7 linked regions of the Canis lupus familiaris genome follow. The protein of the gene in region 1 interacts with the protein of each later gene in a biochemical or structural test. Links are inferred from orthologs where the notes say so. Each region holds a gene or a part of one and is shown on either strand. Other genes may lie near its edges. The genes, in order: CASK, ATP2B4, CNTNAP2, PRKN, CASKIN1, SDC2 and F11R.

What was found.
Region 2: the proteins of CASK (region 1) and ATP2B4 form a complex in vitro, tested with the Homo sapiens proteins (2 studies listed by BioGRID and IntAct, with this or other methods). The link is inferred for Canis lupus familiaris from reciprocal best matches to the Homo sapiens genes CASK and ATP2B4.
Region 3: the proteins of CASK (region 1) and CNTNAP2 form a complex in vitro, tested with the Homo sapiens proteins (2 studies listed by BioGRID and IntAct, with this or other methods). The link is inferred for Canis lupus familiaris from reciprocal best matches to the Homo sapiens genes CASK and CNTNAP2.
Region 4: the proteins of CASK (region 1) and PRKN form a complex in vitro, tested with the Homo sapiens proteins (2 studies listed by BioGRID and IntAct, with this or other methods). The link is inferred for Canis lupus familiaris from reciprocal best matches to the Homo sapiens genes CASK and PRKN.
Region 5: the proteins of CASK (region 1) and CASKIN1 interact in a biophysical measurement, tested with the Homo sapiens proteins (2 studies listed by IntAct, with this or other methods). The link is inferred for Canis lupus familiaris from reciprocal best matches to the Homo sapiens genes CASK and CASKIN1.
Region 6: the proteins of CASK (region 1) and SDC2 form a complex in vitro, tested with the Homo sapiens proteins (2 studies listed by BioGRID and IntAct, with this or other methods). The link is inferred for Canis lupus familiaris from reciprocal best matches to the Homo sapiens genes CASK and SDC2.
Region 7: the proteins of CASK (region 1) and F11R form a complex in vitro, tested with the Homo sapiens proteins (2 studies listed by BioGRID and IntAct, with this or other methods). The link is inferred for Canis lupus familiaris from reciprocal best matches to the Homo sapiens genes CASK and F11R.

Annotation. Positions count from the first base shown.
Region 1 is NC_049260.1:36,111,905-36,115,404, forward strand, and holds part of CASK (peripheral plasma membrane protein CASK), read right to left. Parts: intron 3,447-3,500; coding exon 3,411-3,446; intron 1,759-3,410; coding exon 1,562-1,758; intron 1-1,561. UniProt on the Homo sapiens protein: Multidomain scaffolding Mg(2+)-independent protein kinase that catalyzes the phosphotransfer from ATP to proteins such as NRXN1, and plays a role in synaptic transmembrane protein anchoring and ion channel trafficking.
Region 2 is NC_049259.1:987,639-991,138, reverse strand, and holds part of ATP2B4 (plasma membrane calcium-transporting ATPase 4), read right to left. Parts: intron 1,265-3,500; coding exon 1,033-1,264; intron 168-1,032; coding exon 1-167. UniProt on the Homo sapiens protein: Calcium/calmodulin-regulated and magnesium-dependent enzyme that catalyzes the hydrolysis of ATP coupled with the transport of calcium out of the cell. By regulating sperm cell calcium homeostasis, may play a role in sperm motility.
Region 3 is NC_049237.1:3,928,193-3,932,237, forward strand, and holds the start of CNTNAP2 (contactin-associated protein-like 2), read right to left. Parts: upstream 2,801-4,045; 5' UTR 2,788-2,800; coding exon 2,691-2,787; intron 1-2,690. UniProt on the Homo sapiens protein: Required for gap junction formation. Required, with CNTNAP1, for radial and longitudinal organization of myelinated axons.
Region 4 is NC_049222.1:51,748,775-51,752,709, reverse strand, and holds the start of PRKN (E3 ubiquitin-protein ligase parkin), read left to right. Parts: upstream 1-1,135; 5' UTR 1,136-1,352; coding exon 1,353-1,359; intron 1,360-3,935. Other genes in the region: PACRG (parkin coregulated gene protein), read right to left, coding at 569-724. UniProt on the Homo sapiens protein: Functions within a multiprotein E3 ubiquitin ligase complex, catalyzing the covalent attachment of ubiquitin moieties onto substrate proteins. Substrates include SYT11 and VDAC1.
Region 5 is NC_049227.1:39,222,516-39,226,015, reverse strand, and holds part of CASKIN1 (caskin-1), read right to left. Parts: intron 3,326-3,500; coding exon 3,217-3,325; intron 3,136-3,216; coding exon 3,027-3,135; intron 2,923-3,026; coding exon 2,828-2,922; intron 2,633-2,827; coding exon 2,515-2,632; intron 1,526-2,514; coding exon 1,424-1,525; intron 1,322-1,423; coding exon 1,233-1,321; intron 1,157-1,232; coding exon 1,072-1,156; intron 986-1,071; coding exon 894-985; intron 148-893; coding exon 37-147; intron 1-36.
Region 6 is NC_049250.1:41,599,317-41,603,547, reverse strand, and holds the start of SDC2 (syndecan-2), read right to left. Parts: upstream 2,801-4,231; coding exon 2,764-2,800; intron 1-2,763. UniProt on the Homo sapiens protein: Cell surface proteoglycan which regulates dendritic arbor morphogenesis.
Region 7 is NC_049259.1:22,278,259-22,281,758, reverse strand, and holds part of F11R (junctional adhesion molecule A), read right to left. Parts: intron 1,058-3,500; coding exon 989-1,057; intron 831-988; coding exon 723-830; intron 544-722; coding exon 397-543; intron 115-396; coding exon 1-114. UniProt on the Homo sapiens protein: Seems to play a role in epithelial tight junction formation. Appears early in primordial forms of cell junctions and recruits PARD3.

The sequences.
Region 1 (3,500 bases):
ATCTGTGACTCAGGGCCAGCTGTGATTATGGGGCCCCTGGTCCGTCAAGAACTACAGTCCCTCACAGGAAAATAAAGACATTTCTCCTTTCAAAAAAAAAAAAAGAAGAAATAAAAAAGAAAAAAAAGAAAAAGAAAAACTTTCTTTCTTTCTTCTTTCTTTCTTTCTTTCTTTCTTTCTTTCTTTCTTTCTTTCTTTCTTTCTTTCTTTCTTTCTTTCTTTTAAAAAAAAACAATTTTCTTAAAGTTTGGACTGCAAAGCAGTGCCAGATGGAAGGCTGCCTGCCACTTCCTCTATCCGGGTCTATGAGTCTCCGCATTAAATGATGGCATCTGAAGTTCTTATCAGCTCTGACAATCTAAACGTAAGAACGTTTTTGGAAACAAAGGATAGCTAACAGAGGCAATCACGCAAAGGAAATTCACTGAGAAATCCCTTTAGTGAGAAAAACCATTATCAACCATTATCAACATTGGTGGACTCGGAGCCTCTGGCGTCTGTTAGCTAGGTTCCAGTATTTGGGGATAGACTGCCCCAATGTCTAATGGTTGCTGTTTTGGGTTGTGTGAAACAACCTCAGATAGAGTCATCTCCTTGCTAGATCTCTCACACATTGCCAAAGTACCAGCCACAGCAAAATCACCAGCATCTTTCAAAACAGAGTTCAAGTAAGTGAATTGTAACAACAGCATTTGGATTTCACCAAAATAGATAGTAATATATAGTAATTTGGGACTCCTTTTCTCACAGTTCAAAATGGTGTTGAAAAGCTATCTGACTTTAACCTGTTTTCACTGCTTAAACTTTCCAACAAAGTAAGTGTTTTTAAAGGCTTGGCAAGGTAAAGAATGAAGCTTCTGGCTGCTCTTTTTTTTTTCCCAAAGGCAAAACCCATTTTTACCTTCAAATATCCTGAGTGACCCTGAATCATGGCCTTTGAGCTTTTGCCTGCTGGGGTGGGGGTGGGGGGTAGAATGAGAATGGGGAGACCATGCTAACGGGTAAGGAGAGGGTTTGTTTTAAAACCAAACCAAACAGGGGCATCTGGGTGGCTCTGTCAGTTAAGCATCTGCCTTCAGTTCAGGTCCTGATCCCAGGATGCTGGGATTGAGCCCTGCATTGGGCTCCCTGCTCACCTGCTCAGTGGGGAGTCTGCTTCTCCCTCTCCCTCTGCTACTCCCACTGCTTTATCTCAAATAAATAAATAAAATCTGTAAACAACAAAACAACAAAACAAAACAAAACATGGTTCTAAAAGGATTGAAGCAGCATGTGGGAGTGGGGGGCTCTAAGGCAGCATGAGGTGACTGGGACCATGACTTGAGGCTAGCCGCTCAACCTCTCTCTCTCTTGACTTTCCTCTCCCCTTCTATGTAAAACCAAGACTTGACTCTAAGCAGGAATTTACTAGATGTTGAGGATTTAGAGTTCTTGGATGACTAATCTGAACTTTAGCTAGTGGAGGCAAATAGGTTTTACACAACAGAATAGAAGGTTGTCAAAAAGGATGGTCAGGGCTTTGTTTTTATTGTCAAGCAAAATGGAAGGAATAACAACATACCATTCCTGGAGCTCAGGAGAAGGAATGAGACCTGCGGTTCCATTTTTGGAGTTTTCCAGTTTACCCTGCCACCAGTTGTGATCATCCTTACTAATAATCTGGATAATGTCGCCAACTCTGAATCGAATGCCAGCTTCTTTGCAGGGGATGAGGTCATCCTTGGCCGGATCATATTCAAATTGTGCTCTTACATAGATCTATAAAACAGGAGTTTGTAAGAAGGGCTGCCTCGGCGATGTGAAAGCAAACAGCTCTAACCTAATAACCACACACCAACACTTACAATACAAACAGGACATTAGATGGTGAAGCCAAATGACGCATGGAGATAGGACACAGAATTGCTACCACTAGAAATGATGGGATACCTTTGATGTGTATAGATTCATACCTTTGCTGTTTTTATTTGGAGGGAACACTTAACAATTCTTGTTTAATAAAGATCAAGACTTAGCTTCTGCTTTTACTGTAACAGAATAGGTCTCTAATCATAGAGACGCACGCTTACCATTTTTAAATCTGCATATATTTAGCTGATGTTATGGGCAAGTTGTCATGATCATGTGGCAGCTTTGTCACCATATACACAAACATTCAGGGAAAGTTTTAACCCTGAAGCAGCATGTGGTACAAAAGTAGCAAGCACTCTGTGTTGGCATCTTGCTTTAGTTAAAATGCCTACATGACAACTGGCAGCATGTCTACACACTGTCGATAAACTTAAATGTAATTTAAACAGTTTTTAAAGCATTTAAAAAATCATGTTATTAGGTATGTAAGAAGGATTTAGGTTTTGTATTTGTATTTTACTCTTCTTAAAGAAAAAGGACATTGAATCCAAGCTTTGCCACTTGAAAGCAGCACAGAGCTTCAAGATATGCAGAATTCAAAGCTCTGAGTTTCAGGATATGTCAATGTAATTAGTAGATATTATAAAAGGAAACAGATTAGTCTACAAGGGGTTATCATATGGCAGCATTTTAAGAAATGCTAGATATCTAATGCTGCATCACTTATGCGGTCTTAAAAATAAACTACAGGGTGAATTCTCTCAGATGCCAATTTGTGCACACCTTAAGGCCAAATTGGATTATTTCTGGACACCAAATTCCAAGAAAATTCCCATAAAATTCTATCTCTTGAAATTATATTTGAATATTAATGTTTCAGTCACTGTAAAACCAACCTGAAGGCTTTGGAACTATTGTGTGATTATTCTGTTCAAGTTTTCTTATCAGAAATCCAGCCTATAAAATTAACATGTCTCTGCCTTTGCACCTGAAATCCATACTCTTAAAGTGCTGGCAAACTGGAAGCTGCTTGCTTGTGGCAGGCAGCACTTCACTTTCCCCATGTGACCCAAAAGAGGCATATTGGGATGGAAAGCCAGGATGTTCCGAGTTTTCATTGTAAATGGCTTTTAGATTTACACATGCAAAAACAAATTAGGAAAAAGCCTTGAGATTTTAGAAAATTACTGCTTAAACATGTTCATCAGCACGTAGATTTTAGTTATTCTTAGAATTCTAGGAATTTTGTTACCTTTAACAATTTTTTTCCCCAACTTCAGAGGCAGGCCTGTAAGACCCCCTTAAAGGCTGAATTCTTAACCATCAACACAAGTTTATCAGGTTGAAATTACAATAACCATCACAGCTACAAAGATGTAAAGAAAAAAATCCTTATAGAAAATTAGTCACGTGTAATGTGTTAAAATGAAATGGTACAAGCTCTCAATGCTTAAATGTTATGGTCCAAAATGCAGACATTATGGGATGGAAAGGGTTAATAAAGGATTGGCTATTAGCAGCTCAGTTTAGAGAAGTTTCTATAGAGGGTATCTATTCACCTGTCGTCCTTTTGGTTGGGTAGTTGATGGCAAGTCCTGTAGAATAAAGCCAACCCAGGAGAAAAATTTTCATTTACTTTTCAAGAGTAC
Region 2 (3,500 bases), on another chromosome or scaffold:
TTGCGGATAAGTCGGTTGAATTCTTTGCCTTCTAAGCACAGGAAGTCATCCCCAGGTGTCACAATGCCACATTTGGTGGCAATGGCCCGGGCTGTATTGATGTTGTCACCTGTCACCATTCTGACAGTAATGCCAGCTCGTTTGCATTTGGCAATAGCTTCAGGTACCTATGGAGAGTAAGGTGAGAGGAAAGGAGGAGGTGGGGGTGGTGAAGGGTCCCTTCATTGTGGACAGGAGAGAGGCACTTAGGAGCAGTGCCATGTGGCAGAGGCTAGGTCTGGTCATTTTTATATTGTTTGGTGCCACCCGACTTCTGCCCTATTCATAATACTACATTTGAACTTGCCTTACTGTAGCATGAGTTGAAGAGAAAATCTGCTTGAGGAGCCAGGTGTGGAAGTGTACTCTCCCTACAATCTAGACTTCTTAGCAGGGCACATCCATACCTCATTGGGATCTGGCCACCATCTCCCTTTTTAGCATTCTCCACTTCCCTGGCCCATACTCCAACCAATCCATTCTTTATAGTCTCCTATGCCCTTGGGCCTTGACAACTAAAAGTCCACTAGTCTGAACTTATTATAAGCAGAGACCTTTTCAACGCCTTAGTTTCTAGATTACTGTTCAGCTATTCTAGGGGCAGTCAATAAGAATATGTTGATTGAAAGAAGGTGGCTAGAGGCAAAGTTGGTGTCCCAGTTAACTCTGACTGTTCTTAGGTACCCAATAATAAGCTCAATACAACCTATGTTTCTCACCCCTCAGACAGCATTCACTGTCAGAATGCCAGCTTCTATCAGCTCAGCACTCCACAGTGGTTTGGGAAGCAGAAGGCACAGAAACATCTATCCCTGTACATGAGAAGCTGTTGGGTAACGTGCCTGGGGTCACAGCTAAACATGGAACTAGTACCTCCGTTCCCTTCTATGGGGGGACTACCCCCTACATCATGCTCGGCTGGCATGTGGGCCAGAGGCTGTTGGAAGACTTCCATTCATGTTCTCCTACCCTTTTGCCAAGCCAAAGCCTCACCTCTGGGCGCACAGGGTCCTCAATGCCCACCACTGCGATACACGTCAGTTCAGTGAGGATTTCACTCTCATTGTCCCATGGGGGCTCGCCATCATTGAAATCCCGGTAAGCGATGCAGAGAGTTCGGAGTCCCTGAGAGGCCATGGGCTCGATGACAGTGCGGACCATCTCATCGCGGTCCTTATTCTTGAATGGAACCACTTCCCCTCTCTTGTCCAGGATTCGATTACACCTGGGGAGGCACACAGTCAGGAAGCAGCAACCCTTTCCCACCCCAGATGTCTCTACACTCATTTGCAGACATTCTGGCAATCCTGCATTACTCGTAAAGACAGCATTCTTGGGTAAGAAATCTCTGTTCATCATCCAGCCGAGTCCCTTTTCCCAAGGTGGGGTGATTTGTAGATGGATCAGGTCTAGGGAAGCCAAAGGTATGATTCTCCCATGTTGTCTGTTCCTACTCATATGTGAATGTGATGCCAAGAGTCATTTGTGGATTACCCCCTCTTTTGAACTTCTCAAAGGTGGAGAGACATTTTAAATTCCAGGTACGTGAATAGTACTAGAATGGTGCTCAGTGCATAGGGTGTGCTCCACAGGAATGGGTTGGTTGAAAGACGGTGGCTAAAGCCAAATAAAGGCCTGGTTAATTCTATAGCTACTGGCCCTGTACCTATGTCGGTCAGCCTATAATGACCCATGAACAGTCTAGCTACTTGATGAAGTTACTCAACTTCCTATAAGTGGAGTTGAGCATGAGAAGGAAAAAGGAACATAGAACTAACATTTGTTAGTACTTGCTATGTGCCTGGTATTTTACATACAGGCAAACCTTGTTTAATGACACTTTGCTTTATTGCACTTTGCAGGCATTGTTTGTTTATTTATTTATTTATTAACAAATTGAAGGTTTGTGGCGACCCTGAATCGAACGCTAATGACACCAATTTTCTAAAAGCATTTGCTCACTTCATGTCTCTGTGCCACCTTTTGGTAAGTTTTGCAATATTTTAAACTTTTTCATTATTATTGTATTTGTTACGGTGATCTGTGATGCTACTATTGTAATTGTCTGGGGACATTGCGAGTCACATGCATATAAGATGGCAAACTTAATTGATAATGTCATATGTGTTCTGACTGCTCCACTGCCTGGCTCTTTCCCGTTCTCTCCTCCTCTCCCCAGGCCTCCCCTCCCCTGAGAGACAACACTACTGGAGTTATGCCATTAATGCCCCTGCAATAGCCTCTAAGTGCTCAAGTGAAAGGAAGAGTCTCACATGTCTCACTTTAAACCAAAAGCTAGTAATGATTAAGCTTGGTGATGAAGGTGAGTCAAAAGCCAAGAGAGGCTGAAAGCTAGGCCTCTTTGCTCCCAATAGCCAAGCTCTGAATGCAAAGGAAACGTTCTTGAAGGAAATGAAAAGCATTTCTCCCATAAAACCAAACAGCCTTATTGCTGAATGGAGCAAGTTCGAGTGCTCTGGATAGAAGATGAAACCAGCCACAACATTCCCTTCAGCCAAAGCCTAATCCAGAGCAGGTCCCTAACTCTCCACAATCCTAGGAAGGCTGGGGGAGATGAAGACTCTGCAGAAAAAGTTTGAAACAGCAGAGACTGTGTCGTGAGGTTTAAGGAAAGAAGCTGTCTCTATGACATCAGAGTGTAAGGTGGAGCAGCAGGTGCTGATGTAGAAGCTATAGCAAGTGATTCAGAAGGTCTGGCTGGGATCATTAATGAACGTGGCTACACTAAATAACAGATTTTCAGTGTAGATCAAACAGCCTCATACTGGAAGAAGATGGCATCCAGGACTTTGACAGCTGGAGAGAAGTCAGTGCCCGGCTTCAGAGTTCCACAGGAAAGGCTGACTTGCTTGTTAGGGGCTCATGTAGCTGGTGACTTTAAATGGAAGCCAATGCTCATTTATCATTCTGAAAATCCCAGGGCCCTTTAGAATCATGTTGAATCTACTCTGTCTGTGCTCTATAAATGGAACAAGAAAGTCTGGATGACAGCACATCTGTTTATAATATGATTTACTGAATATTTTAAGCCCACCACTGAGAGCTACTGCTCAGAAAAAAGATTCCTTTCAAAATATGACTGCTCGCTGACAATGCACCTGATCACCCAAGAGCTTTGATGGAGCTGTCCAATGAGATTCACATTGTTTTCATGCCTGCTAACACAGCACTCATTCTGCAGCATATGAATCAGGGCGTTAAGACTTCTTATTTAAGAAATACATTTTGGTAAGGCTATAGCTGCCAGAGATAGAGATTCCTCCGATGGATCTGGGCAAAGTCAATTGGAAACCTTCTGGAAAGGACTCACCAGCCTAAATGCCATAAAGAACGTTCATGATTTATGGGAAGGGGCCAAAATAGCAACACTAATAGCAGTTTGGAAGAAGTTGATTCCAACCCTCATGGATGACTCTGACCCTCACCGTTCAGGACTTCAG
Region 3 (4,045 bases), on another chromosome or scaffold:
AGCGTCTTTCCAGTATGTTCAAATAAGTGCAACTCCCTAAGAGAAAAATATACTCTTTACATATGCGTCCTGTATCTGCACATTTGCAAGAAGAGAGGTGGTATGATTCCATCAGCTCAGCAGCAGCTCATCTGCACTGTCAAGCAATTAGATTCTATTTCTCCTTAATCCTAGAAATGAGCTTTTTAAATTTATTTTAGTCCAGCTATAGAAAACATAGTATTAGCAGTAACACCATTTTTATATGTATTTCAATAATAGAGAAAAAGAAATAAGCCAGAAGCAAATATATATTTAAAATGGTACTGTTGCCAAATGAAAAATATTAACTGCATTTTCTAGAAACGTCCATCATGTTAAAAAGTTATCAAGGGACAGAAAGTTTTAGCACTGTCATATTTTTAAAAATGAGTAGCAAATAAAAACATTACGTTTGGATTTTCATGCTACTTTTTGTCTTGTGATGACCTCTCCTGGTTGAGTTGTTCATTATCTTAGATTCATGTAGTTACCGATTTTTTTCTCCTTTGAGCGTTTTCAGTATTAAGAATATAACTCTCCCTCTTTCTCAGAGTTGTATAAATATAAATACAAATTGTCATTAAGTGTCAAATTATAATTTAAAGTACTGAATTTGTGAAGCTCACTCTAGTCAACAAAGTCCACATCATTCTTATCATTTAATTGATTTCCAGGATGCGGGGCAACTTTGGGTTTTAGTCAGACAATTTAAATTCAAAGGAAACAAAAAGTCATCTCAATTAAGCCATTTTACATATTTAAACAATAAAGAATAAGAGCAAGAGCTAATAAATACATCTTAATCAGACATAAGTGTCAACTACCTTAAAAGTAATACTCTCTGCTCTTCCCCAACATCTAATTCTAACTAAGTTGTAAAAGCTAGGAATATATCTCGGCAACAACTTTTCTATTCTTAAAAAACATTAACCCCGTGGCTGCATGTGTGCCATTCATTCTTGATACATGGCAAATGTTTCAGAGGGATCCATCACATTAATGTATACATAAAGATGCAATATAAAACTCAGGAAAAATCCTGGATATGAGAGCCATTAATCAGTGAATATAATTAATTTATAATCGATTTAATTTCTGAAAAAAAGCGGCAGTTAGTTCTATATGACCAGATCTTGAAATGGAAATCGAAATTTCATCAGATTACTTTTCTCCGGATGTAGTCACATATTTACATAATATTAATACTGAGCACTGTCTTCAAAATTTGTTTAAATATATAAAACCGGAATACATATGTTAATAATGTATCACTTATTTGAGGTTCAGTCCGTTTGTGAAAAAGCTACAAAAATGTTTTTCAAGTCCATTACACACTGCCACTTAGTGACTTCCTATACTGCAAGAAAAGAGAAGCAAATACAATACTTGGGAAAACATGTCAAAACTGCAATAGCGGTTCATCACATGACATTATTGTGGGGTAGATTCTTTAGCACAACTTATCAAGTCCTTTTTCAACGGTTATTCTTATTAATATGTATACCCCGGAACAAGAACATTAATATTAATGTATAGATAAAGATGCATCAATGCATCCCAAGACCTCATCAGCGGAGATAGGACCACACATACAATGAATTCTGGAAAACACTAAACTTTTTTTTTTTTCTAAATGGAAAACACTTCAAACTAAAATCTCCATCGTTATTCTTTAATAAGTAGCTCATTCTCACAGACCAGCACTATGTGCCTGAGATTCCCACGGGCAAGCTCTCTAGGGTTTAACTCTTTCTGAATCAAAGGAGCGATCATGCGTCTCCTCTCTAGATGCACAGGATGCACTTCTGAAGCAACTCAGAAGATGGGCTGGAATCTTCTATTCCTTTCTACTCTTGCTAACCGCATGAAAACATGAGCAACCTTTTCTTTAAAAAGAAAAGGGGGGGGGGGGAGCCTGCTGGAACACAAAGACTTGAATATATTGAACAGCATCCTTTCCCCGAGAACTCTTTAGGGATGCCTTCATGACTACATCCATTCCCCACGGCCTGTTTGCCCTGCCTGCCCCGAGTCCTAGGCTGTGTCACCCCCAAAGTGCCAAAAATCAAAGCAATTTCAGCCAGCACGCTGCATTCACTGTCTTCCCCTTCCAAGAAGCAAGTACTAAGTGGTCATTAACTTTTTGGGGGTGGGCGGGTAAGGGAAGTCCGCGGTGCCCCAACTGCTCCAAATGGTCTCCTCTTGCACCCCCACCCCCGCAACCCGTGCGTCTTGAAGTCAAAACCATATGCAAAAACAAGAAACTTTTTTTTTTTTTTTTTTTTTGCCCCAGCCTTCACTTTCTTGCAGCGACCTACCCGAGCCCAAAGCCCCGAACTCCCTCCAACAACAAACACCCCGAAGTGGAGGAGTAACTCCTAAGAAGCTGTCGCCCGGCCTCGTCACTCCAACCAAGCAGTTGCCAACCCCCCCTTGCACGGCCGGGGACAACTTTCCAGAAGCATCAGCAGCCTCCAGAGCCCTCGCGCCACCGCCCCCCCCCCCCATCCATCCATCCCCGCCCTGCAAGCCCCCCAGCGCCCCGGGGCGCCCCGGGCTTCGGAGCTCCCTGCGGCAGCGGCTGCGAGACGCCGGCGCACGCAGGTGGCGGGCCCGGGAGGACCCCGACGCGGCCCCGGGCGGGCTGGGCGCTCGCGGAGGCTACTTACGGGACGCGGCCGGGGCGGTCCAGGCTCTGCAGAGGATGCTGCCGACGATCCAGAGCGGCAGCGCCGCCCCGCAGCCGGCTCGCGGGCCCGCCGGCATCCTCGGCGGCCGGCGCGCGGCACTCGGGGAGCTCGCTGGGCTCGCTGCGGAGGCGCCGGCCGTGCCCCCGGGGGCTGCTCCGGGCGCTGCTCCGGGGCGGGGCGGGCGACGGCAGGGCCCCTCCCGCGGCGTCCTCTTCCCCCCGCGCCCCTGCAGGCTCCAGCTCGGCCCGGGCCGGGAGCCCGGGGAGGCGCAGGCTGCCTCTTGCCTCCGCGCGGCTGCTGCCTCTCGCTCCGGGAGCCAGTGAAATGCCAGGGGGAAGAAATTCAAACCGCGAAGGGAAGGGAGGGGGAGCGGAGGAGGGGACCTACCCCGCCCTCCCTCCCTCTCTCTCTTGCAGGAGAGAAAAAAATAAAAAATAAAAAATCAGCATAGGACGCGGAGGCAGAGCAGAGGAGCTGGGGATGATGCAGCGGCGCAGGGCGGGCGGGCGGGTCTGAGGGGCTTCCCGGCGCCCCGGGCTCGCGCTCGGCACTCGGCGCTCGGGAGCCGGTGCGCGGGGGGCACGCAGCCCCGCGGGCGGGAGGGGGGAGGCGCAGGGAGGAGGGACGGAGGGCGCACGCTCGGCCTCAGCGCGGCGGCATCGCCCCGGCGCCCGGGCAGCGCAGCAGCGGCCGGAGACGGAGCTGCACACCGAGCTGCAGACGGATCTGCAGACGGAGCTGGAGAGCGAGCTGCACACCGAGCTGCACACCGAGCTGCACACCGAATTGCACACCGAGCTGCAGACGGAGCTGGAGACCGAGCTGCACACCGAGCTGCACACCGAGCTGCAGACAGAGCTGCAGACCGAGCTGGAGACGCCGCCGCCAGCAGCGCCTGCACAGCCGGGCGGCGGGCGAGGCGGGGAAGCCCTCCCTCCTCGCCCCCTCCAAGTCCCCACCCCGGCTCCTCCTCCTCCTCCCCCTCCTCCTCCTCCTCGCCGTACCCCTCCGGCTGTCACCACCCCTCTGCCCTGCGCTCGCGAGCGGGAGCCAGAAGGCACCCACGGGCCCGCGTCCGTGCGCCGGGGCGGGGGGGGGGGGGGCGCCGAGCCAGGGGGCGCGCGCCTTGCCCCGGGCGGGGGGCGGTGCTGAAGTTGGGAATTTGCGGGGTGATCTTGGAGCCCGGCTCCAACCCCGGCCGCCCTCTCCTCACCCCCACCCCCACCCAGCTGCGGGGAAACCGAACCCCTGGGCTCGGAGGCCTGCTCTTTCCCTCCTCCCCTCCCCTGCAGAGGGAGATGGTACAGGCTCCCGGAGCTCGGCCTGCCCCCCGG
Region 4 (3,935 bases), on another chromosome or scaffold:
ATAGACCTTCCTGTTACATTGCCTATCCGAACTCTAACAAGCTGATATTATTTTGTAAGAAAGAGGCTTGTTAGGGTCAACGCAGGGATGCTCTAAAATTCCTTCGTTTGAACTGATGAGAGTTCCTAACTGTAGACGATTTAACGAGTTTATGGTTCCAGGTGTACATCAGCACATGTCAAATTCTGCAAGAGCTTATGATCTCTAAGAACTCGCCTTCTAGAATGACCTTTGCTGAGTGGGGCTCGATTAGGAATCGATACGTAAAGAGGCTCTTTAAAAAAAAAAATCGTGTCAATAGTTTTAAGAGTACCTTGGCGTGGTCTAGAAACCATGAGTTAGGAGGAAGGTGCTTGTCAGTGGGTAAGAGTGCCTCACGTGCCCAGGATCCTTCCTGACACCCCAGCCAGGACCTCCTCACCCTGCTGGGCGCCGTCTGCAGAGGCGCCCCCCTCGGTGCCGCAGACCCCCCAGGACACGGATTCAGGATCCATCCCAGGCCGGCCAGCAGCTATCGCCTGCTGTCCCCTGATCGGAGCGAGTGCATATTCAATGCAGGGTCACTTACGACTGAGTTTTTCATCATGGCTTTGACTGTGAAGCCCTCAGAAACCAGGGAGTGAGGCTGGTGCACCGGGAGCGGCTGTTGCGCCAGCAGCTTGGTCCTCTTCGGCATCTTGTCTGGGCATTTGTTTAAGCTCAGGGTCTCTTTTTCTGCCACCATCTTCCTAGAAAATGTCTCGTTCTCATAAAACGTGTAGTAAAAGAATCAGTGGGTTTTACGCATGTGAGAAGGAGTTCGGGGGGGAAAAAATGTAAAAAGGCGCGTTACTGGTAGAAATTCAACCCCTCGTAGTGCCCAGGTTGATCCAGATGTTTGGCAGCTCCTAGGTGAGGGGAGTTGACGGAGGGGAGGGGCGGGAGGAGGGAAGGACCGTGGCGAGAGCCCTAAGAAGCTTCCAAAGGTAAGCCTCCCGGTTGCTAAGCGACGCGTCAACACTGCGGCCCCGTGGCCCAGTCCCCCCGTGACGTAGCACGCTTGCTGGGCCTGAATGCGGAGAGGCGGCGGAAGGCGGCGGGCGGAAGGCGGGCGGCGGCGGGCGGAAGGCCCACGGCAGGCCGACGGCGGGCGGGGAGGGGGCGGCGCGATGGGAGAAACTACGCTGTCAAACTACGACTCCCAGAAGGCCCCTGGCTGCGCGTCGTCCGCGCGTGCGCATTCCGACAGCCGGCCCCAGGGAGGCAGGTGCTGGAAGATTTAACCCCGGAGCCACATTTGTGGGAGGCGCGGGCGGGCGCCGGTGCGGGCGTAGCCCCCTGCGTGCCCAGCAGCCTCCACCTGCCTAGTGACCATGATAGGTACGTGAGTACCTGCCAGGTACAGCCTCTCTGCGCCTCCTCGCCGGGCCTCGGCGGACAGGGACGCCCCCGCCCCCAGGGTGTCGGCCGGTGTCAACTGTCAGTGTCGGGACGGCCGTGTCCGCCGGCCCTCGGCCCGCGCTGCGCGCTTCCCGGTGCCCGCCGTGGGCCGGGGGAATACGTGTGTGTGAGCTCAGCCCCCGCCCAGCCCGTGCTCGGACAGCTTCCCCGGGGACCCCGGCGTGCGCGCCTGCGCCTCCCGAGGTGGAGGCTGCGGCGCGCGTTCCCACGGCGAGCGCCGCGCCGCGCCCCGCCCCGCCCCGCCCCGCCCCGCCGGACTCGGGGGTCGGTTCGCAGGCCCCTCACGTGCACCTCCGGCCCCGCCCCTCGGGGGCTGCCTCCCGGCTAGGGACGGATGGGACCCGCCGCCTGTAGGACTCTTTCCGGGGAAACCCTATACCGAAGCTTTCAGCTCTAGCGGAAGGCACCTGCCGGGATGGTTAGGATTCAGAGACATTCCTGCAGAGGAACTTAAACCTCTCGCTCCCTCGATTTTTCCTTGTAAATCTCTCCTTGTAGGTCTGAGATGAAAGAATCTAGAGTAAAGAATAACAAGGATTAAATATTGGCATAATGAATTATTAGTTGACACAAAATGACCTGGGTGCATATTTATGATGAAAGCTTTGGAAATGGTTTGTGGTAATTGTTTATAAACACTGTGACAAAAGTTTCCTCCCCCTCCCCGTCCTCCCCGTCCTCCCCGTCCTCCTCGCCGTCCTCCTCCTCTTCCTCCTCCTCCTCCTCTTCCCTCTCCCCCTCCTCCTCCCCCCTCCTCCTCCCCCCCCTCCTCCTCCTCTTCGCGGTAATCTTTGAAATGAGTGGAAATACACAGTATGATTAGAAACCAGTGTTATTTGGGGCGTTTATTATGACAGAGACTTACTTTAGATTGTGTATGGAAGATTTGGTGACCCTATTTGGAGATTATTCCTGATGAGTACCACTTAAAAAACAATTTTGATTGCATCGAGTGCATCTGAAGTCAGAAATGGTCAGTCCAGAAAGATGAGAAGTGGATTTTTAAAATACGTAAGTTTGTATGCACTGATAGAGTCTTAAGTCTTTTATTTAGGAAAATTAATGTTAAAGCGTAAAACATTCTACCCAGAGGGAGAATCATGCCAGTGATTAACTGATGCTGTCTTTGCAGCAATGATAAAACCTAGGGATGTTGTCCAATTTTTCTCACCTTTCTAGCACGGTATGACTTTTGGTGAATGACTTTTGAAAGTCATCCAATGAAGACATTTTTCTTATAAATGAATGTTTTATATAAACTTTATGAATCTTTTGAACCCAACTTTTACATATAATCCACTATAAACGGCTCTGAGTGGAATCAGAAAAACTAATAGAAGAAATTTTTAAAAATCCATGATGTCAGCATTTTACAGAAAAAATTATGTTTTATTTGAAGACAATTATAAAATTTTATTTTAATTCAACTTAATTTAGTGCATGCATGCTCTTAAAAGAAGCAAGTTTATAGCAAAGCTATATAAAGATAGGGACTTAAGATCTAAAAATCACAATTCTAAATTGTTATCTGATAAATGACTATATAAGAACTTTAAAAAAAAAGAACTTTGGTAGGATGAACTATGTTTAGGGAATTTAGTTTATTTGGGACTTAGGGACATAAGACAGAAGAGTATGATCTTTGGATTTGATGATTAGACAGTTATTAGTAACTTGTAATTACATGGAGAATATAAGGTAGATTTTAAAAGGTGTTTTTTCTTATACTCCAGTTGTTGTTTTACATAGTGCAAATAAATGTGTATTACAACATAAGTACAACATGCCCCATCCCAAGAAAGGTACTTTACATATAAAAACCATGTGGACAATGTGCAGTACATTATTTTATACAAGTAATTGCAATGCCTAATTCTATTGGTGGGCACTTTTTGATAAAAATCTTAATTGCCAATTTTGGACTTGTATTGGTGAAGAGAGTGTGTGGAAAGGTAGGTGAAAGTGGAGGCAATTAAAAAGGAAAGGTAGGTGAAAGTGGAGGCAATTAAAAAGTGATGGGTTTCCTGTTTGTGAATAAACCTCAGAGCCAGGAAAGGCATTATTGTTTATACCTAGTAATAGGCTGGAGATAAAAATATACCTCAGTATATATCTGGGTTTGTTTTTTTTTTTCCTGTTAAAGACATTGTGCTACTCAGAACTTGCCTGTTTTATGCTTGTGCTCTCTTTAATTGCTACACCCTCTTTAATGCAAATAGTACTCTTCCATTTTACAAAAATCTTGGCTTACTTTTGAGGAAAAACAACAATAGGAGTAAAGGGGATTGATTGTTACCCCACTACGAGTAGAATTAACCTTCCTTTTTTGTTCTTAAAACCTAGGATTCCTTCTTGGTACAGAGACTGCCTCAAAAGTACTTATATTTCTCACTTGAATTATGACTGATACGTTAAATGCCTGGCCCAGACAGTCATAGAAACATAGTTTAATTAATTATGACTTTGAGAAGTATGGAGTAGGACATCAGGGTATC
Region 5 (3,500 bases), on another chromosome or scaffold:
CGGCCACCGCGGGCCGCCAGCCTCCGGGCAGCTCACCTCCGGGGTCATGCGGCTGATGGTGGGCAGGTCGTAGCCGGCGCTGATGAAGTTGGAGGCGTAGAGCTGCAGCTGGAACGTGGCAAGCCACTGGCTCACGGCCTCGGCGCTCTGGAAGACACAAGGGACCCGCTGCAGGCTCGCCTGCCCGCTGGCCTGCCAGCCGTGCACCCGGGCCGCTATGCCGGCTCCTCCTCCGCTCAGCTGCTCGGTCTGCCATCTGCTGGTGCCCCCGCGGCCGGGCCTGGGACAGCCTGGCCCCCGTGTGCCTCCTCGCTCTGCGGTCCCCACTGCCGGCGTGGCGAGCTCCGTCGGCGCTGCGACCGCCTCCTGTGGTCTCCGCCGGAAGGGTCCAGCTGCTGTCGGCTGTGTCACAGGCTCCCCTGACCAGCCCCCCTGTTCCCTCACCGGGGACACCTGCACCAGGGGCTCGGGAACGTGGCCTCTGCTGCGCCGCACGGAGCAGCCCCCGCCCCCCAGCCGGGGCAGGTGGGCTCCGTCCAGAGGTGCGCAGGAGAAGCAGCCAGCCGCCCGCGCCGTGCCCACAACGGGCCCCTCTCAGCCCCACACGTGGCCGGCCTGGCCTCACACGCACGCCTCCTACGCACAGCACACGCGCGCACGTGCCCGGCTCGCAGTCACCGCCCACACACAGGCACGTCCCCTGCTCACCTCACGCCCACGTCACACTTGCCGTTCGCACCAGCTCACACGCACAACCCACACAAGAGACAACACCTACACGCACAGACTGACAAACGGACAGAAGTATGGCCTGGCCTGTCAGGGCCCCCCGCTGCCCGCGCCCCAAGCAGGCTGCCCGGGAGCCCCTCCCCGCGGCCAGCGCGGCCCGGTACCTTGCCCTCCGAGGCCGGCTCCAGCTTCCGGGGCGGCTGCTCCCCGTACACCTGCCCCGCGTGGGCCGCTGGAGGCTGGGACCGGGCCGCACCTGGAGACAGACGGTGTGCTGGGGCAGGGGTGCTTGGGAGGGGGGCGCTCCCCGCCAGACCAGGGCTGTGGCAGCCTTGCCCTTACCTGTGGAGCCCTCTGGAGGCTTGACAGGGCTGTCCCCGAGGCTGGACTCGGAGACCGACTTCTGTGAGAGCACCGTTGCCAGGAGCTACAACCCAGACAGGCACGCTGGCCGGCGCTGCTCGGCGCCCAGCCACCCCGGCCCTGCTCCCCAGACCACCTACCTTGACCCCTTCGGAGCCTGCGTGCAGGGCATGGCCCCCGCCGCTTCTTGCACCCGCCGCACCACTCAGACTGCCGCTGCGGTCCCCGCCTGCCAACACAGGGAGCACCCTGAGCCGCTGCTGGCTCTCCCCGCGCGGGGTGCTCCCTCATAGAAGCACTGCCGCCCTGACCTCCAGAGGTCAAAACCTACCTGCAAAAGGCTTCCTCAGCACCCAGATCTCCTCGGGGGGCGCGGAGGGCCCCGAGGAGCTGCCCGCCTGGGGTGGGCTTTCTTCGGCGCCTGCTCGAGAACCTGTGGGACAGCACGGCTGCCCTGAACCCCGGGCTGGCCAGGCCTGGGGCCCCCACGTGGCGAGGGGGCATCCTTGGCCTGGCCCCAGAGCCTGGACAGAGCAGGGGCCCCTCACGTTGACGCTGCAGCCTCCTCTGGCCCCGGCTGTCTCCAGGCAGTGGCAAGAGCCTCAGAAGACCCCTCCCCGCCCTCTGCACGTGAGAGCAGGACACCGTGGCGACACTGTGGTCCTGGGTGGGGCATGGGGAGGGCAGGAGGTGCACCTCCTTTCTGCCAGGGGAGAGGCCCCCAGAAGCCTAGATGACCCTGGGTGGGCTTCCCATGCCTCCTGACGGGCTCCCTCTGTCCCCTCCCCTCACCTGTCGACGTCCACGTCATCTCTAGGAGGTAACCCATCTCACCAACCCCCCTGTGGCCCGGCCGCACGCCTTTCCTGCTCCTCACACTGTGCCAGCTGTGCTGTGTGGGTCTTCTTCAGGCCCTTGACATCGTATGCCCTGTTCTGCCCCAGGGCCTTTGCACATGTGGTTCCCGCTGACTGGATGCTCTGTCCGGGCCAGCCTCCCTGCCCCAGTGCTTTTTCTGACCACCCTGTCTAGAAGGCAGGCCTCTGTACACCTGATGAATCACTGCATTTTACTCCTAAAACTAATAAAAATAAGTAAAAAGCAGGCCTCTGTGCACATTCTCTTTAGCATTAGTTGGCACATTTTTGTATTTACTTCACTGCCATTCTCCCCACTGTCCCTAGGGGTGAGCTTGAGAGCAAGAATGAGGTCCATCATTCTTGGGTCACCATCGATTCCTAGCGGCTGATGCATGACGTCTATTGAATAATTGAAGGAATAGGTGTGGGGAGGCTGACGAGCCGGCCGGCAGGAGCCCACTCTGGACCCCACGCCCAGCAATGGCCCTGCCACCCACCACACATGGCCACGTGCTTCCTTCTGGCGCCCAAGCCGAGGCCCGTGGGGTGGGGGGGGACTTGCCTGCTCGCTTCACAATGGCCTCGCCCAGGGAGGACGGGAAGTAGCCCACACGGTCGTGGCCGGTCCGGTTGTCGTGGATACAGCCCTTCCAGCGGCCGTCGGGGTGCTGCTCCAGGACCTGGCCCGAGGCGTCGGGGCGAGCTCAGGGAGACGCCCCTCCAGGTTGGGGAGGGTGTGTGTGTGTGTGTGTGTGTGTGTGTGTGTGACCCGGGCCTCCCGTCCAGACCCCCGGGCTTCCCAGTAGCCACATGGGGGGCTGCGGGGTGAGCACCTGGGCCCCCCCATCCCCCTGCCCTCCCCAGGCTGGCCTTACCGTGATGATGTCCCCAGCTTTCACGTTGAGGCTGGTCAGGTCGTAATTGTTGCAGTAATCCTTGGTCGCCCGGACCTGCAGAGCCGCCGAGGCCTCTGGGGACACAGGAGGGAGACCCCCCCAGTCCTGCCAGCCGCCGGGCCCAGACCCCCCAGCCCCCACGCCTTCCCCGGCCTCCCCGCCCCGCCCCCTGGCCCACCTCGCAGCAGTTGCTTGATCTCCTTGCTGGCCTGGGACGTGGTGAACTGGTGCACGATGTCCAGGGCCGTCTGGCTGTAGGTGTTCCTCACATGGGCATTAATCCCGTTCTGTAGGTGCCAGACGGTGTGGCCTGTCAGGAGACCCCCTGCTCCGCGCCCCCGCCCCAGCTCCCACGGCCCCTGACTCACGTCCAGCAGGAGCCGGACCACTTCCGTCTTCCCACAGAGCGCGGCTTCGTGCAGGGCTGTGCCGGACTTGGTCTGGCGGTTAATGTCAATGCCAGCCTGGAGGAGGAGTCTGGAAGGAAGGCGGCGGTGGCAGCGGGTGGCAGCCACGCTCCTCCCCAGTGGACGGGCATTCCCAGGCCCCGCCTCCCAACTGCGGTGTCAGCCCCTGGCCCAGCATCTGTGGAAGTGACCCCCACGGGGCTGACCCCACAGGGCTGACCCCAACGGCCATTAGGCCACCCTAA
Region 6 (4,231 bases), on another chromosome or scaffold:
GAAGCATGTATTTCCTGAATGGAAGTAATTAATCTGAAATATTTTGTGATGGAAACTGTTTTTCAATTCGGTGTCTATGGCACGCATCCTACAGAACACCGCAAATACGTTCTTCCGCCTGTTAGAATCTTTTCCTCTCTGGCTTCCGGAATAAGTCAAATGTGCAACTATTCTGCTCCTAAAATGCCCATTCCAGGAGACCAGGGACCTTTCTGTCTTTTCTACCACTGTATTCTCATTCCTGGTACATAAAGACACACAATAAATATTTATTAGATAAGTTTTGGTCTAAAACTCAGTCTATAGTGCATGAGAGTTGTGAAACTGTGAGAAACATAGATATAGATAGATAGATACTAGGCCATGGTAATTTTTGAACTTAGAATAAAATAGAGCCTACTCTGAGAATCACAGTGTCTCAGTGGCCGTTCACTGCAATAAATCTCAAAGAAAGAAATTTAGAGAACTGGGAAGTTACAGCTCAAAGTCAGAGGCATCAGCTCTTCCATGCTGAGTGCCATCCGCCAAGCTCCCCACGGGCAAGTCGAACGTGCTGATAGTCCAAGAGGAAATGTGGAGAAGCAGAAAAGTGGGCAAAGGAGAAAGAGAGAGAGGAAGTCAGGAGAACTGGAAGTTGTATCATCGGACGCTCCTAATTCCACAGAAACTGGGCTGGCAACTGTGGGTCAGCGTGGGTCTACCTTGGTTTTTGGAAGGATGAACTACAGCCTTATTTTTAAGATGGATTCTTTGTGGCTTAAAGAATTGCATGAGATGGAGGAGAGAGGGACTTCGAAAAGGAGTTTCCAAAGGAAAATGAACAGTGTGAGAGAAATGCAAAGAGCCTCAACTGTTGCCTCTACCGCCAAGAGAGCTAGTCTGCTTTTCAGGCCTGGGGCAAGGCTGCACCTCCTTTCTCCCCAACGGTTAGAAACATCAAATAGATCAGAACCCCAGTGAAAGGGGGAAACGCACTCACCTGCTGGCTCTCCAGGTTACTGCTGTCTGTTGGGGCATCTCCCTAAGGAGGACCATGGTGGCCGCTCCCTGCCTCAGCGTGGGCAGACAGCGATCAAAGGAAATAAGCCCGTGCATCTGTTCAAGGAACATGCACCCCCAAAGCTCTTGGTGCATATGAGCCTCTTGAGGTTTATGCAACATTGAGAGTACGGATAATAAGGGGATGGTGCCATTTTGAGAGTCACATAATATCAGGTATTTGATAACAAAGAAATATTCAAATCTTGTGTCCAAATGCATTTGAGAGTCAGAAGGTGTGACCAGAAGGATAATCTGGACGTATAAAAGACGCAGATGGTAAAAGCACGTACGCAAGACGGGGTTACTAAAGACCTGCCTATGCTGGGGGCGGGGGGTAGAGGAGGGTGGTAAGGGACAAGGATGTCTGCTGCTGTTAGGGACATTTCTAAAGTCGTAAATGAGGAAGGTCTGTGTCTTTGGGTTGCTCTAAGGAAAATATCATAGACTGGCTTCTGAACAAGAAAAATTCATTTCTCACAGTTCCGGAAGCTGAGAAGTCCCAGATCAAGGCACTGGCATATTTGGTGAGAGCGGGCTTCTTGGTTCCTGGAGGGCTCTCTTTGCTGTGTCCTCACAGGGTGAGGGAGGGGGTGACCGCGTCCTCTGGAGCCCCTTTGATAAGAACCCCAGTGCCATCCATGAGGCCTCTACTCTACTGGCCTAACCACCTTCCAAAGGCCCCACTACCCGACACCATCACCTTGGAGATTAGGATTTCAACCTATGTATAGGAGGGAGTCTGGGGAGGGGGATCCAGAGGCACAAACATTCCGTCTACAGCAGCCTGTTGCTGTGTTTTGCTAACTGCAACTTTTTTTGACTGAATAAAACTCTATGGAGTTGTGTGGCGCATGTATATCTCACACACGGAAAGCAGGAAGCGATTAAAGGCAAGGGTTCCCCCCAGTGTGCTTTCAGGTCCTCCGTTCGAGGGCTGTGCTTTAGGGGGCACCACAGGTAAAATGGCAAAATCAATCATTGCCCAACCGCTCACTGATTGCTGAAAGAATAAACAACCTACCTCAGGAATCTCAGAAGAAGATAGAGAAGAGGAACAGAATATAGAGACAGAGATCAGAGAGCAGGCGTGTAAGAAGGGGGGGCGGTGAATTAAAAGGCACAGAACACCCGAGAAAAACAGAGACGACAGGTACTAGAGACATATTTTTAACCTAAGCCGACACCCTGGACCTTGTCACCAGGGTCCTTAGTGACGTCGCATGATCGCCGGGACTAGCAGGTGCTGTGGCCCGAGGTGAGCTGTCAGAGAGGGAACCGCAGGGGGACAAAGATGCCGCCTCGGTGTTTCCGACTGGCCTTCACTTGGCATTCCCTGGAATGGTACCAGCGGTTCAGGCTAGAAATCTATTTAGTCGGATCAGCCCTGACTAAATTCACTTGAAAGATGATAGAACCTGGGAATACGAGGAAATCCAGCCAGCCAACTCTCAATTACCCACGCTCCTCAGGGCCAGTGCGCGGAGCCGTGACCAAAATCTACAGGCAAGCCCAGCCCAACAACAGCTAACACCTAGTTTTAGCCTCCGTCTTTTGACCTTTCTCTCCATTCACCTCCATCGCTCCTTTGTCGGGGAAGTTGGCTAATTGTTAGATGAAGAGCCGCTCGTCCTCAAGTCGCACGTCGGTGATTAAGGTTCCGTGTCAAATGTCATCCTAAAGTCAGAAATGGAGATTTTAAGGAAACCGTTGTTTGCAGGCTACCTCGTTTGGGGGCATCAAACATCGACCTACGAGCCATCCTCGGGTACATGAGCATAGGAAGGGTCCACAAAGGTATCTTCAAGGTGCTGGCACCGCCTTTGTGCAGGTCCCGTGGGACGGGGAGACACAGTCCGGGCCGACGTTAGGGACGACGGTGCTACCGCTGTGACTGCCACCCCGACGCCCTGCCCTTGGTGCCACAGTCCCTCACCTGCTCCGGCAGTTACGCGGACCAGGTCGTGCGGGGGGCGAGGCGATTTATTAGTGCCCACCACTTAGATGCACCCTTCCGATCGTCTCAGCCGAGGAGCTCGGGGTCGAACCCAGCTGCGCGTTTGGATGACTCCCAGTCACCCCAGACTGCCGAGGGTCCTCGTGTGTCCTCGACGATGGATGTACAAGGGCAAGGACAAGCAGGTAAACACACAGGTAGACATAGGGGACACGTGTTGCCCGCATAGTGGAGGGTCCTGACTTTTCTTTTTTCTTTCTATTCTTTTTTCTGGCTCTTGTGAGACCCAAATCAAACTTATTCCTTTAGGATCTTGAGATAGTTTAGTGTCCTTAGGGTAAAATTTTTATTTTTCCTTAGGTGGTATAAGAGGGCTTCTGTTCCTGGTCAACAAACGATCCCAGACAAAGACAGAGATGAAGACGAGGCAGCTTTGACTGTGACTGTCTTCACTCTGAGTACAGTGACATCCTCACCCTCCAGGGCTTTATAAGGCATACGTAGGTAAAGGACGCTCTTAAATCAAGACCAACCACTCTAAAAATTACTTTTAAAAATTATTTAGATTTGTGAGGGAAAAGATCTATTAAAAAATAATGTTTTGATTCTTGAATTACCTTTCCATGCTCAGTAGAGCTGGGTATCTTAAAACCTCTCAAAGAAGAATAGAACATACTGATATTTCTCTGCATAAAATAGCATTAATACTGGCATCACCTACAGGTTAATGCAGGGAATTATTTCATTGAACATTATCCTAAAGCATCTAGAAGGCAAAGTGCACACATGTCCAGGTGTGAACACGTTTCTAGACTCTTTCAGGTAGTGCAATGAGAAACGGGTGAGGTGGTCGTGCGTGGGAGGGCTGTTGAGTTCCCCAAGGGGCGAGGAGACGGACGCACCCTCGCACCTGCTGTGGGGGGAGGCGGTGTCCGTGCTCTGCAGGTGGCCACGCGGCTGGGTCACACACCGGCTGGGCTTTGGGTGCCAGTCCCGCCCGTCGCCGTGTTCTGAGAGGCCTTGCCCCTGAGCGGGCCGCCAAGTCCAAGCCTCCATGTCCTCACTGTGACTGGAGGTGAGTGAGTCAACGGGTGGAGTCCACGCGCAGTGATGCCCGCATGTCACCCAGGCAGGCTCGACGTCTGCACCTGTTGTCTCAGGGAGCACCTTGGCCTTGAGGTGCGTCCTCTGCCTGGAGTGGCCGGCCTGTCCATGCAGCATGAGCTCGGGGTGTCC
Region 7 (3,500 bases), on another chromosome or scaffold:
TGAACCAGTAGAACTCAGAAGGGGGAGAGCCATCTTTCTCCGAGCAGGTCAGCACTGCCCGATTCCCGATGGTGGCAGAGGAGGGGATGTTGACCGTGGGCTTGGATGGAGGTACTGTGAAGGGACAGGAGGGGCCGAGCACAAGGTCAGGAGCGCTGCCTAGAGGCTACACTGCCGACACCCCCATCCATCAGCTCTGGCCTCCGTTCCTTACCATGCCCTCAGCTTCCCCCACCCCAGGGGCTCATTCATCCCCTCCCTCCTGGCACCGTGACTCTGAATTCCCCCCACCCGGGGGCATTCTCGCCATCGACGAGCTCCAAAGCTTTGCAGAGCCAGGAAGGGGTTAGGGACGCCACGAACTCCAAGACCATACAGAAAAAGGGTGGCACATACCAAGCACAATGAGCTTGACGGTGACCTCCCCATAGGTGTTGCCACCTTCATCAGAGACCATACAAGTATACATCCCCGTGTCCTTACGGGTCACGGAGTGGAAAGTGATGCCACTGTGCGAGAAGGTAACTCGGTCCTCATAGGAAGCTGGCAGGAAAGGAAGGAGGGGCTGGATGAGCTGGATGAGCTGGAGAGCGCAGAGAAGCTGGCGGTGGTGGCAGGAGAGGCGCCGGGACCTGGGCCCCAGGGGGCACCTCTCCCCAGGAATCCAGGCCCATCAACCCTCCACCACCGAGGCCGTCAGGAAGGAAGTGGGGGGAACTCACCCGTGATCTTGTTGTTATAGCAAACGAGGCTGGTGATGTCCCCCTGGGCAAACTTCCACTCCACGCGGGGAGAGGAGAAGCCAGAGTAGGAGCAGGACAACTTGGCGGCTGCAGAGGACACAAATGTCAACGGGAGGAAGGAGCAGCAGCAAACGGGAAAGGGGAAATTGGTCCCCAACTTCAGTCTGCGCTGGATGCAGTCCCCGGGGGCCTGCACCTGCTCCCGCCCGCCCCGGCCTCCCCCTTCCACAGCCGCCCGGACTCACGTTTGTTCTCAGCGACTCTGACTTCAGGTTCCGAAGTGTACACAGCACCCCTGCCCAACGCCAGGGAGCCTGAGGAGGAGGAGCCCATCAGAAGGGGGCTGCCCGTGAGCTGGGCCGCGCCCAAGGCTTCTCCCCGGTGAAGGGACCCGGGACACCCGAGCTCCTCTGGTCTCACACCCCCTCGCCGATGTCCTGAAGAGTTTCTGGGGACGCCCAGGCGGCTCAGCGGTTGAGCACCCGCCTTTGGCTCAGGACGTGACCCTGGGGTCCTGGGATCGAGTCCCGCATCGGGCTCCCTGCGAGGAGCCTGCTTCTCCCTCTGCCTGAGTCTCTGCCTCTCTCTGTCTCTCATGAATAAATACATAAAATCTTTTAAAAAAAGTTTCTTTAAATGCTTTTTGTCACCATTGCAGGCCAATACTTCCATTATCAATGACAACAAAACATTTCTTTCCAATGTAGTTCTTTCATCTTTTCAGTGTTTCCCTCTTCAACTCCCAATAATCTAATCCGAGTCCAAGAACAGCTCCCCAAATGACATTTCATGGTTCAGAGAAAGCTTCTCAACAAGTAATTAATTGCAACCACTTGTCAGGCACTCCTGGCAGGAAGCCAGCAAGGCTGGAGGCCAGAGAGGGAGGCTGGAGGCCACGAGGCAGGAGGGGAGGCAGGGGAAGAGCAGTAACGAGGATAATAATAACACTTGACATTTGTAGGGCGTTTTGTGCTTTCTAAAGTGTTTTCACGTCCATTATGTCGTTTGATCCCTGAAACAAGCGCGACAGATCAGCAGGACGAGTGTCATTATCCCAGTTTTACACGAGGAACCAAGTGCATGAGGAGTAAAGGCTCATGCCTAAGATCAGAGCCGTCCGAGATGGGGTCAGGACCCAATGGGGCTGGGTCCCCTCCCGAGGACGTCCCCCCTCCCCCTGCGGAGAAGGAGCCGGGGAGGCGGTGGGTGCTGGGGTGCAGAGGCGCCGGGGAGCTGCAAGGGAGCTGGCAGGAGGGGCCCACGCTCCAGGATGACCGGGACCCGGGGAGCCAGGCTCTGCCCCCACCTGCACTCGCACCATCATCACCCCCGTTCATGTTTTCCCAGCTCAAGTCCACCAAGCGAGCTTTCTCGCTGCTTCCAGGAGGCCCGTCTTCCTTGGGCAAACGCCTGCACGTCTGCTAAGCGCAAGCACGTCTTTAGGTAAGAACTCGCGGAGCTGGGCTCGGTCATGTGACCGCTAGGCCTCCCTTTTCTTTTCTTTCTATTTTTTTTTTTTTTAAGATTTTATTTATTTATTCATGAGAGACACAGGGAGAAGCAGGCTCCCTGCAGGGAACCTGATGTGGGACTCGATCCCTGGACCCCGGGGTGACTCCCTGAGCCCAAGGCAGACGCTGAGCCACCCAGGGGCCTGTAGGCCTCCCTTTTCTCACTTGAAACACGCAAGGTTTGAACTAGATGTTCTGTAAAGTCCTTTACGGTTTTTGTTGTTTTTGTTTTGGCCTCAATGTTTAAAGATACAGGGGCGCCCGGATGGCTCGGTCAGTTAAGCACCTGACAGGTTGTGACCTTGTGGGTTGACAGATGGAACCCCGAGCCAGGCTCCTCGCTCAGTGGGGACTCTGCTTCAGATTCTCTCTCTCTCTCTCTCTCACCCCTCCCCTCCCCATCTGTGCTCTTTCTCTCCAATAAATGAATCTTTAAAAAAAAAAAAAAAAGTTATTTGTATCAACTTGACACAACGTGGTAAATTAATGTAGATACGTATTCTTTCTCCCACTTTACATATGAGAAAATTAAATGTCTAAAAAGTTACAGGGCTGGCCCGTGTTTTCATAGCTACAAAATGGCAGAGCTCAGATTAGCACACAGGTTCCCTCACACTCTCTTTTTTCCTTTTTTATCTTTATTTTATTTTATTATTTTTATTTATTATTATTATTTTTTAAAGATTTTATTTATTTATTCATGATAGACACAGAGAGAGAGGCAGACACAGGCAGAAGCAGGCTCCATGCAGGGAGCCTGATATGGGACTCGATCCCAGGACTCCAGGATCACGCCCTGGACCAAAGGCAGATGGTCAGCCACTGAGCCACCCAGGTATCCCTATTTTTTTTTTTTAAGATTTTACGTATTAATTTTCTAAATTTATGTATGAGAAAGAGAGAGGCAGAGGGAAGCAGCAGAAGAAGAAGAACAAGCAGAATCCGACAAGCAGCTGGAAGCCTGATGCAGGGCTCAATCCCACAACCCTGAGATCATGACCTGAGCTGAAACCAAGAAACCAAAAGAGTCTGACCCTTAACTGACTGAGCCACCCAGGGCTTTTTAATAAGTCACACTGTTTCTCAGAAAAGCCATGACTTAATGGGGGCAGACTATGTAATAAATGTCATTCTTTTAAAGGTCAGGTCCATTTATCTGTGAATCATTCCTAATAGTATTACGGTGTATCTATATATTTGGCATTATATTTTAACGCCAAGTTTATAACCAAACGTAGTAACAGAT